Arabidopsis thaliana: one gene and its partner. The protein of the gene in region 1 interacts with the protein of each later gene in a pairwise test. Each region holds a gene or a part of one and is shown on either strand. Other genes may lie near its edges.

What was found.
Region 2: the proteins of CHX20 (region 1) and MTPB1 interact in a protein complementation assay, tested with the Arabidopsis thaliana proteins (one large-scale study listed by BioGRID).

The regions. Positions count from the first base shown.
Region 1 is NC_003074.8:19,905,061-19,912,244, reverse strand, and holds CHX20 (cation/H+ exchanger 20), read left to right. Parts: upstream 1-2,018; 5' UTR 2,019-2,217; coding exon 2,218-2,397; exon of another isoform or gene 2,398-2,499; coding exon 2,500-3,534; intron 3,535-4,797; coding exon 4,798-5,034; intron 5,035-5,258; coding exon 5,259-5,972; intron 5,973-6,056; coding exon 6,057-6,419; 3' UTR 6,420-6,654; downstream 6,655-7,184. Other genes in the region: AGD6 (ARF-GAP domain 6), read left to right, coding at 6,826-7,184. UniProt on the Arabidopsis thaliana protein: Operates as a K(+)/H(+) antiporter that maintains K(+) homeostasis in guard cells and could regulate pH. Plays a critical role in osmoregulation through the control of stomates opening.
Region 2 is NC_003071.7:12,614,387-12,618,520, forward strand, and holds MTPB1 (metal tolerance protein B1), read left to right. Parts: upstream 1-1,991; 5' UTR 1,992-2,291; intron 2,292-2,420; 5' UTR 2,421-2,423; coding exon 2,424-3,551; 3' UTR 3,552-3,601; downstream 3,602-4,134. Other genes in the region: TOPP1 (type one protein phosphatase 1), read right to left, coding at 1-216, 672-897; GSTU7 (glutathione S-transferase tau 7), read right to left, coding at 3,725-4,081. UniProt on the Arabidopsis thaliana protein: Involved in sequestration of excess zinc in the cytoplasm into vacuoles to maintain zinc homeostasis.

The DNA of each region.
Region 1 (7,184 bases):
ATTATGTCAAGTGATAACTTCATTGAAAAATTCTAGTGTAGGGTAACTGGAAGAGAATATAGATTCTTCACCAATCAGGTGCAATCGCCATATTACTAACGTAATTGTACAAAAATATACAATTACATCAATGTCAATAGTTTAGTGTACATTAACATATTCTCAATCAGTCGTTACTGAAGTCAAATTTTATAATGAGTTGTTGTTGTATAATGGGACTCTCTACCTAGAACAGTTCGCTGTACTTATACTGTAGCCACTGAAAATTACTTTTTTCTCTAATCGACCCATTTTTCTGATTTTTTCGACCATGAATAATAAACCACTTTTCTTTCCGATTTACACAAATACAAAAGCTATGGAGCAAAATGTGTTGTTTCTTTTTCATTATTATTGCTATAGACTGTTTCATACACAAGTTCCAGTACAACTTAAAACACCATGATTTCACAGACAATTTCACTCTGCCGACCTTATTTGGGCGTGTGAGTCGTCAATGTCAAAGCTATAGTGTCTTTATAAATTGAGGATGTATTCTTTTCTTTCTTTTTTTTGTCAACAAAATTATTAGGATTAGCAATCTTATTTTCTACAAAGAGATACAACAAGTGTATTTGACATAACTCTTATGACATATCTGATCAACATGCAAAATATGACTTTGAGCTGCAATTTAAGGTACAATAGTCTAGCTAGATTCATGAATCTTCTCTATAAATCTTTTTTTTTCTTTTTTTTTTTAATGTTCTATCTTTGAGCTGTAATGTAAAAAAAGATGGGTGAGACCAAACTTGCTATGTTTTGAACTAACTGTTCCTCAAAATTTGGAGGACCACTTGTTTGGCACTTTTGGCTTGCCTTCATGAAAAGTCCAAATCTATTTCATAGAAAGGGAAATGAAATAACGATCGCCTCGTGATTTTCAGTTTTTTTTTTTTTTTTTTTTTTTTTTTTGTAATCAGTATTCTTGTGAATTCTCCCACTATCTAAACTTTTAAAAAGTAATATGATTGACGTAGTTTCTCTTAAAAAATTTAAATAAGTTTTTTTCCATTGGATATGTGTCTTGGACTAATATTTCGACCATTAGGTAGGTCAGAAAATATGGATTTCGAGTCTATAACTTTTGGTGACCTTTTTATCGCGTCAATCGGATTTGAGAGATCCTTAAGATAATATGCACAAAAGTAACTAACGCTCCAAAACATCTAATAGAAAACCGTGTGATCATTATATTAATCTTAAACCACAAACATACATAATTACTTAACCATGAAATGGTCGAAATAAAGTGTGATTACAAAATTTATAGCATCTTCGAGGCAGTCCACTGCTTTAGATCCTTTATTTCTACAATTTCAGATGTCTCTTTGCCACAATCTAACTCTTAATTTTTTCATACTGTATATGATAGTCATAGCTATTATCAACAGTTTTATTTCAAACTTGACGAACAATCTAAACTAGATAAAAAGTTAGGAAAGTCGTAAATACCAAGCAGAATTGAGATACCACTTCTTGGAAAAATCAACAGCTCTATTTAATGAAAATATTGCCAACTTATATCGAAATACTTTGGAATATATGAGAAGTCATAGATACGTGTCAATTTGGTTGCACTTGTAAAACCCATCCACGCCGACGCAGCATTTGTCAACGCCCATCTCTCGCGTCCCACGTTTGACTCACATGATTCCTGCTTCGGTGATAAGCCACTCTTATTTTAGTTTGCAATTTCCGTCTGTGAGACGAGTTGTTTCTTTTTTTCTTCTCAATACTAAATTTATGTTATTAGTTTTGCTTGAAATAAAACTGATAAGAATGAGTTATAGCAACCACAAATTGTTTTTGAGTAGATTTTTACTTTCTATACTTTATTGTAAACATGAACAATTCAAAGACATAGATGGTTTCTAATTATAGCACCCAAAATCTAATGGTTTTTAAATTTTCTACTAAAAAAACAAATATCATAAGAAAAAAAAAAAAAACCAAATACTTCCACTCAAGGTCTAGTCACACGTGAGATGCACCAAAATTACAAGTAACAACATAATTACTTTTTTGAATCTTCAAACCAATACATTTATAATTTTTGCCTATAAATTTCTTCACATATCTTCTTCATACTTGAACTATATCACATGTTCCAAATATAGACGAGAACAAAACAAAAAAAAAAAGTCGTCGATAAGAGAGTCCTTTGAAATCCCCAAAATGCCCTTCAACATAACCTCCGTGAAAACCTCATCTAACGGAGTATGGCAAGGCGACAATCCTTTAAACTTCGCTTTTCCGTTACTCATCGTCCAAACGGCGTTAATCATCGCCGTCAGTCGCTTCCTCGCCGTCTTATTCAAACCTCTCCGTCAACCCAAAGTCATCGCCGAGATTGTCGTACGTTAAAAATTACACTCTAACCCCACACACACTAACTATTTACAATTTTACCATAATAATCTTCTTAATTTACAATTCTGCCATCGTCTTCTTCTTCAGGGAGGGATTTTGTTAGGACCATCGGCTTTAGGTAGAAACATGGCGTACATGGACCGTATATTTCCGAAATGGAGTATGCCGATACTCGAATCCGTCGCGAGCATAGGACTTCTCTTCTTCCTCTTCCTCGTCGGTCTAGAACTCGATTTATCATCGATCCGACGAAGCGGCAAACGCGCTTTCGGAATCGCAGTCGCTGGAATTACACTACCGTTTATCGCCGGCGTCGGAGTCGCGTTTGTGATCCGTAACACTCTCTACACCGCCGCGGATAAACCAGGTTACGCCGAGTTTCTCGTTTTCATGGGAGTCGCACTCTCGATCACAGCTTTTCCGGTACTTGCGCGTATTTTAGCAGAGCTCAAGCTTTTAACGACTCAGATAGGAGAAACCGCGATGGCTGCAGCCGCTTTTAACGATGTAGCCGCGTGGATTTTACTCGCTTTAGCGGTTGCGTTAGCGGGTAATGGCGGTGAGGGAGGTGGAGAGAAAAAGAGTCCGTTAGTGTCGTTGTGGGTTTTGTTATCGGGCGCTGGGTTTGTGGTTTTTATGTTGGTTGTGATCCGACCCGGAATGAAATGGGTCGCGAAACGTGGATCTCCTGAAAACGACGTCGTACGCGAGTCTTACGTGTGTTTGACGTTAGCCGGTGTTATGGTTTCCGGTTTCGCGACGGATTTAATTGGGATTCATTCGATTTTTGGAGCGTTTGTTTTCGGTTTGACTATACCGAAAGATGGAGAGTTTGGTCAGCGATTGATTGAACGAATTGAGGATTTTGTTTCCGGTTTACTCTTACCGCTTTATTTCGCTACGAGTGGTTTGAAGACTGACGTGGCTAAGATTAGAGGAGCTGAGTCGTGGGGGATGTTGGGTCTTGTTGTTGTTACGGCTTGTGCCGGGAAGATAGTCGGAACTTTTGTTGTGGCGGTGATGGTTAAAGTTCCGGCGAGAGAGGCGTTGACACTTGGTTTCTTGATGAATACTAAAGGTTTAGTGGAGCTCATTGTACTCAACATAGGCAAGGAGAAAAAGGTTAGTTTTGTCTTCCTTTTTTCTGATTTTTTAAGGTTCTTGTTTACGCTTTTAGTTATCTGATGAATATTATAAATATAAAAAACCTAGTAACACTAAAGTTATTTGATCATGTTTAGTGGATAAAGCATATAAAACAAAATACGATTATTATATTGATTTAATCGCATCTATACCTTTATTTTAGGGTGTTTAGATATATTTAAAAATTTAGGTTCTAGTTGGATCCATGTGTATATGCGTCCGGTCCGCTCAATATTGGTAGGCTGGTCGGGGATCCGGAATAGTAAAATTGCTTATGTTTTATTTGAACATTAACCAACCGTTGTATAAATTCAAATTGATAGCTAGGCAGGCCCGGCTCTAGGGGAGTGCCAGAGGTGCTAGTACACAGGGTCCTCATTTTTTTTTCTTAATTTTAAGTCTTCTAGTTTGCAGTTTTTTTTTTTTTAAGGGGAAAACTACAAAAAAAACAACCACCAAAATAAAAGATAATAAGTTTAAAATAAAAATACAGTAAACACATGTCACATAAAGTTATTTTGTTTAGATTTAAGGGCTATTTTTGTTTGTAGCACAGGGCCCAATAAAATATTGAGCCGGGCTGCTAGGTTTACTATCACTATAATAGACACGGTTGCAATTTGATAGCTAGGTTTGCTCTCAACCGTTGTATAGTAATATTAGTCACCATAATACAAATCTGCAGTTCATTAATCATAGACTGATGGACACGGTTGCAATTTGATAGCTAAGTTTACTATGTGCATCGAAGATGATGCAGTTAGCAATGGTAGCTTCAAAACATTAGTCCGTGATTCTTTTGTCACCTCCGAAATAAACATTTTTATCTTAAATATATGTGCAAGATTATACTATAATGCTTCTGGAAATATGTAGTATATAAAATTTTTTGTTTAAACGTGTCTTCCCAACAAAGATTATAGTTATATACTACACTTTTATTATAAAGGCGTTTCTTATTGTTTTGGGGTAATAAAGAAAAACTGATCAATTAAGGACTAGTCATATATATGCATGCATGAAAACTTTATTTTTATTTTTTTTTCTGCATGAAAACTTTATACGAATATACCTTTTCGAATGGGCCAATGTTTACGTAATCGTCACTTACTGATCCACTTGCAGATTTATGATCTTCTTCATAATGCAACAATAAAGTGAAATAATGATTACCCATTAATGTAGTAAGTGTGGTTATTTTTAATTAAACTGTTTGTACGCGGGGTTGACTTTAACCAGGTACTAAACGACGAGACGTTTGCAATACTAGTGCTAATGGCACTCTTCACAACGTTCATAACGACGCCTACTGTAATGGCCATTTACAAGCCGGCACGTGGCACCCACCGCAAACTAAAAGACTTGTCGGCGAGCCAAGACTCCACCAAGGAAGAGCTTCGCATCCTAGCCTGCCTCCACGGCCCAGCCAATGTCTCCTCCCTCATCTCTCTCGTCGAGTCCATCCGAACCACCAAGGTAAATTACCTTTCTTTTATATTTTTACGTTACAATAATCTATATTTAAATTTGTAAATCTATGATAAGAGTTATATCAGAAAATTAAGATATCATTGAAATGCTCAATGAAAATGTATCCTACGTATAATTACACACATTTTGTATAGTTAAAATTAAAAATCAGCTGGGTAATAATTTATAATCTTGGTTAATAATTTAAAAAGTCGTATTTGTTTTGGCAGATACTACGGCTAAAGCTGTTTGTGATGCATCTGATGGAACTAACGGAACGGTCTTCGTCAATCATAATGGTGCAAAGAGCCCGTAAAAACGGACTTCCTTTCGTTCACCGTTACCGTCATGGTGAGCGTCACAGCAACGTCATAGGAGGCTTCGAAGCCTATCGTCAACTAGGCCGGGTCGCAGTCCGGCCCATCACCGCAGTCTCTCCATTACCCACAATGCACGAAGACATTTGCCACATGGCAGATACCAAGAGGGTCACAATGATCATTTTACCTTTCCACAAACGATGGAACGCTGATCATGGTCATAGCCACCACCACCAAGACGGAGGAGGAGATGGAAACGTACCGGAAAACGTTGGTCATGGTTGGCGATTGGTTAACCAAAGGGTTTTGAAGAATGCGCCGTGTTCGGTGGCGGTTCTTGTAGACCGTGGACTTGGGTCCATTGAGGCCCAAACTTTGAGCTTAGATGGGTCGAATGTGGTTGAAAGGGTTTGTGTGATTTTCTTTGGTGGGCCTGATGACCGTGAGTCTATAGAGCTCGGCGGGAGAATGGCTGAGCATCCGGCCGTTAAAGTTACCGTTATTAGGTTTTTGGTAAGAGAAACGTTGAGGAGTACCGCCGTCACTTTACGACCGGCACCGTCTAAAGGCAAGGAGAAGAACTATGCCTTTTTAACAACCAACGTGGATCCAGAAAAAGAAAAGGTAAATCTCTTTTGATCCCCTATGTTTATATACCAGTTATGACAAATATAACTATAGCTTTCTTTCTTGGAAAAATAATTATAGGAATTAGACGAAGGGGCATTGGAAGACTTCAAGAGCAAATGGAAAGAAATGGTGGAGTACAAAGAAAAGGAACCAAACAACATCATTGAAGAAATACTGTCAATAGGACAGAGTAAAGACTTTGATCTAATAGTGGTTGGAAGAGGGAGGATACCGTCGGCCGAGGTGGCGGCATTAGCTGAGCGTCAAGCTGAACATCCTGAGTTAGGTCCTATCGGAGACGTGCTCGCCTCTTCGATCAACCACATCATTCCATCAATCCTTGTGGTTCAACAACACAACAAAGCTCATGTAGAGGATATTACGGTTTCCAAAATTGTTAGTGAGTCTTCTCTAAGTATTAACGGAGACACAAATGTATGATAACAATAAATAAATTGATCTAGTACTTAAACTTCGGCTTAATGCATGGTTAAAGTGGTTAGTTGAAGATGTAGTTTATCTACAATATATAGATAGCTCTTGAGTAAGAATTGTAAGATCGTCTACATATAAATAACCATGATTGGGCATCTTGGGCATCGTCTACATATAATTTCATATTTGGACTAAATAGTAAATACAATTATCATTTGGGCCATTTGAGAAACTACCGGAAACCTCTCACGTGCCAGAGACACGTACCAAAAAAAACCCCGAACATTTATTAGGAAGAAGAGAAAAAACGGAAAAGAAAAAAAAACGCATCAATCTGAGCAGCACAAGTCTGCGAGATTTGGATTAGATCTGATTCAGGTTGGATTGATCATCGTTCGGAGCTCCGGGAAACATGGCGGCGACGAGACAATTACGAACTCTCCAATCTCAGCCTGAAAACAAGGTATGTGTCGATTGCGCTCAGAAGAATCCTCAATGGGCGTCGGTTTCGTACGGAATCTTCATGTGTTTGGAATGCTCCGGGAAACACCGAGGCTTAGGCGTTCACATATCCTTCGTCAGATCCGTAACCATGGATTCATGGTCTGCGATCCAGATTAAGAAAATGGAAGCTGGTGGTAACGAACGGCTCAACAAATTCTTCGCGCAATACGGAATCGCTAAGGAGACAGATATTATCTCCAAGTACAATTCGAACGCTGCTTCTGTGTATCGTGACCGGATCCAAGCTTTAGCTGAAGGTAGACCATG
Region 2 (4,134 bases), on another chromosome or scaffold:
CGTAAATACGATTAATGGAAGCAGATTCATGATTCCCTCTCAACAAGAAGAAGTTCTCAGGGTACTTGATTTTGTAAGCTAGAAGAAGACATATTGTTTCCAAGCTTTGCTTGCCACGGTCAACATAATCACCCAAGAACAAATAATTAGCTTCGGGAGGGAACCCTCCATACTCAAAAAGCCTCAATAGATCTGAATACTGCCCATGAATATCACCTATAAAGTAAAAGACAAAATATAACCATTACATCTAAGAAAACATGGCATATCAGATACTACTAGTCAACGTTAAACTTTTGCAGGAAATGTTTTATCAGACCCAATCAAAACACATAACTTGACTAGTCAACATTAAGATAAAATGAATCAAACCTCATAGAACCAGTCAAAACTCCTAAGCCTATCTAAGACTTTTAGTAATAAAAATTCAAACTTTATACTACCCATTAGCTTGATTTCATTGTTCTGAACTCAAAAGACAATCAAAATCTCACATTTTTTCTTCAGTCACTTAGATATGTACATAGCTTTAAGAATTCAACTCATTACTACTGAACAAAGCTTGATACTTTATCTAAACATGCACTAAATTCGCTTCTAAAAATCAATCAAAACTAAAACCCCAATCCAAAAAAGCACTCTTTCTAAACTAAAGGGAACAAAAATCTGACCGCAGATCTTGATGGGAGCTTCCAATTCAAGCAGATTGGGCTGTTGAAGAAATATTTCTTTGGAGACAGCACAAAGCTGACGAATTTCACCTTCACTGAGATGAACTTGCTTCCCCGATCCAGGTCTCGTGTTCCGAAACTCAACCAAACGACGAATAATATCGTCGAGAACTGCAGGTTCCATCGCTCGCTTCTGCTCTTGCTCTTGCGCCGGCTTCTCCGCCATCTCCGATCTAAACGAGGTAGAAAACGAACGGAGATTTTCAAGCGTGAAGCTTGCGTTTCGAGCCGCGAGGAGGAGAGACCCGAAGACTGGTGTGTGCTCTGAGATTAGTCAATATTGATTGGTTCATTTTTTATTTATTTAATTTATTTACGAGACCTGAGTGAAATCAACCTAATGGGTATGTACACGTTTTATTGGGCCTGTAAATGGGCTATCTTTCTAGAAGATTCCTTTATACAAATTTCCAAACGGTAGAAAACTAGTTCTTCTAGCCTCTCTACGCGATCAGTAATAACGATTGGCGATAGTAATATAGTATTCACTATTCAGTAGTAATGATGGGGGATAGTGATCAACAATATGTTTTGTTGTTTGTTTAGCAGTCATCGGTAATGATCAGTGACCAATTATAACAATCAAATGTTACTATGTTAGTATGATATTCGTTTTCCGTAATTAAGTGGTAGATTAGATCAATCTTAATTCTTAAATTCTTAATTAGCGACTAATAAATTAAAACGCCAAAAAGTTTGAATTAGCAAATTAGTTACTGAAAACTTAGTGTTGCCATCAAAAACTACAAAACAACAATCTATTTGTTACCATGAAACTACAAAACAACCAAGATTTAGTGTTTGATCGGTAATACCTAATCTAATATAATCACCATCTGGTTGATGTGTCAAATTAACATGCATATGCGTGTATGCAAATACCATTCTTTTGTTAAAAATCACCAATTCACATTCTTAATTACATGCTAAGTGCTAACTAATAACTATGTAGTTTGATAAAACAAGTTAATATATCAACAACATTTTTATCAAAAGAAAAAAATAAACTATATCAACATGGACAAATTACATCACCTAACGGTCCTAACCTAATTTAAAATAATATTGATGTATGTTTATAATTGATTTCTATAATGAAAGAAAACAAAAAGACGAAAAAAACAACATGCTAAAGATCAAAGAACATTAGTTGAATCAATCCTTATTTTGAACAAAGAATAGTCAGTCCATTTTGTTCACCTGAAACGCAAACGCCACCTTTGTATGGTAATACAATCATACAAATCTCATACACACCAAAAGAAACACAAAATCACCAAAACAAAATCTTTATATTTATTTCTTTTTTCCTTGATTCTCCTTATTAAAGAAAAAAGATTATTCTTCTTCACCCGTCACAAGCCACAACGACTTATTTTAGATTCCCATACAAAAAAGAAAATTCCACATCTATAAAACATCTCCTCCCATATTTGCTGGATCATCCTTAATTGCCTGTGTTCATGTCTTCATATCTCTAACCATAAGATAAAACTCAAGATTTCTGAAGAGGACAGCTCTGGAATTCATATACGTTTTGCCTCTCCATCTGATTCTCAGGTTTGTTTCTTGTCTTAAAAGAAACACAAAATGGGTTTATTTGAATCTTTTAATCATAAAAATACTTAAAGAAAGAGGATCAAATGTTGATTTAGATCTCTAATGAAAGTTTGTGTAACGTATAAACAGCTTATGGAATTGGAGCAAATCTGCATTTTGAAACCCGATGATGAGGAAGAAATGGAGTCACCATCACCATCGAAAACAGAGGAAAATTTAGGCGTGGTTCCTCTGTCTTGCGCGTTTACGAGACAAGAACATTGCGTTTCCGAGACGAAAGAACGCGAAGAATCGACTAGAAGACTAAGCAGCCTTATTTTTCTTTACCTCATCGTTATGTCCGTACAGATTGTGGGAGGTTTTAAGGCGAATAGTCTTGCGGTTATGACAGATGCTGCGCATTTGTTGTCGGATGTGGCGGGTTTGTGTGTCTCTTTGTTGGCGATCAAGGTCTCGAGCTGGGAAGCTAATCCGCGAAACTCGTTCGGGTTTAAACGGCTTGAAGTTTTAGCGGCGTTCTTGTCTGTTCAGCTCATATGGCTTGTCTCTGGAGTGATAATCCATGAAGCCATTCAAAGACTACTTAGCAGAAGCAGAGAGGTTAATGGAGAAATCATGTTTGGGATTTCGGCTTTCGGGTTTTTCATGAACTTGGTTATGGTCCTTTGGTTAGGACATAACCATAGCCACCACCACCACGACCATCATCACCATCATCATAATCATAAACATCAACATCAACATCATCACAAGGAGGTGGTGGCAGAAGAGGAGGAGGAGGAAATGAATCCTTTAAAAGGTGAGAAATCGTCTTCAAAGGAGATGAACATTAACATACAAGGAGCTTATCTTCACGCAATGGCTGATATGATTCAGTCACTAGGTGTTATGATTGGTGGAGGTATCATTTGGGTAAAACCAAAATGGGTTTTGGTTGATTTGATTTGCACTCTTGTTTTCTCTGCTTTTGCTCTTGCTGCTACTCTACCAATTCTCAAGAACATATTTGGAATACTGATGGAACGCGTACCGCGTGATATGGACATAGAGAAGCTCGAAAGAGGACTTAAGCGAATCGATGGAGTTAAGATTGTTTATGATCTCCATGTATGGGAGATAACAGTAGGGAGAATCGTATTGTCCTGTCATATCTTACCAGAGCCTGGAGCTAGTCCTAAAGAGATCATTACTGGTGTTAGAAATTTCTGTAGGAAGTCTTATGGGATTTATCATGCAACTGTTCAGGTTGAATCAGAGTAGCACAAAAGAGAGTTTCTTCTGTATTATTTGCTTAAGAACATCTTTAGGTAGAACAAGAAAGAAAGTTCAAATTTTCGTGTTTCAATATAGCAAACATTAAGTGACAGAACATAGCAACTGAGACAAGAACAAAAGAGACATACTGTGAGCATTAGAATTTTTATAAAACCTTATCAAGCAGATTTGATATTGAGTTTCTCCATACGAGCTCTAATGTACTTAAGATGCTCATCTTCAGGAGGAATACATTTCTTGATAACATCATTACCCAACAAATTCTTAACCCATCTATGTATCTCCGGGAACTTCTCCACCGGAACCACCTTTACCCCGACGATCTCCTCCGTTCTCATCAGCCAAAACGCCACCAAAGTCGCCACAATATCCACAAACCCTAAACTTTTCCCACCGAGAAAATCTTTCCCAACAAGCTCTTTCTCCAAAAACATCAACAAATCTCTCGTCGCTTCAACCACAGCATCTCTCTCTTTTCCGGTCTTCCCCACAACTTTCATCGCCGTCACATAAATCTGAAACTCCCCAACAAACCGGTTTTAAAAACCCGGTTCAAAAACCCAAACCA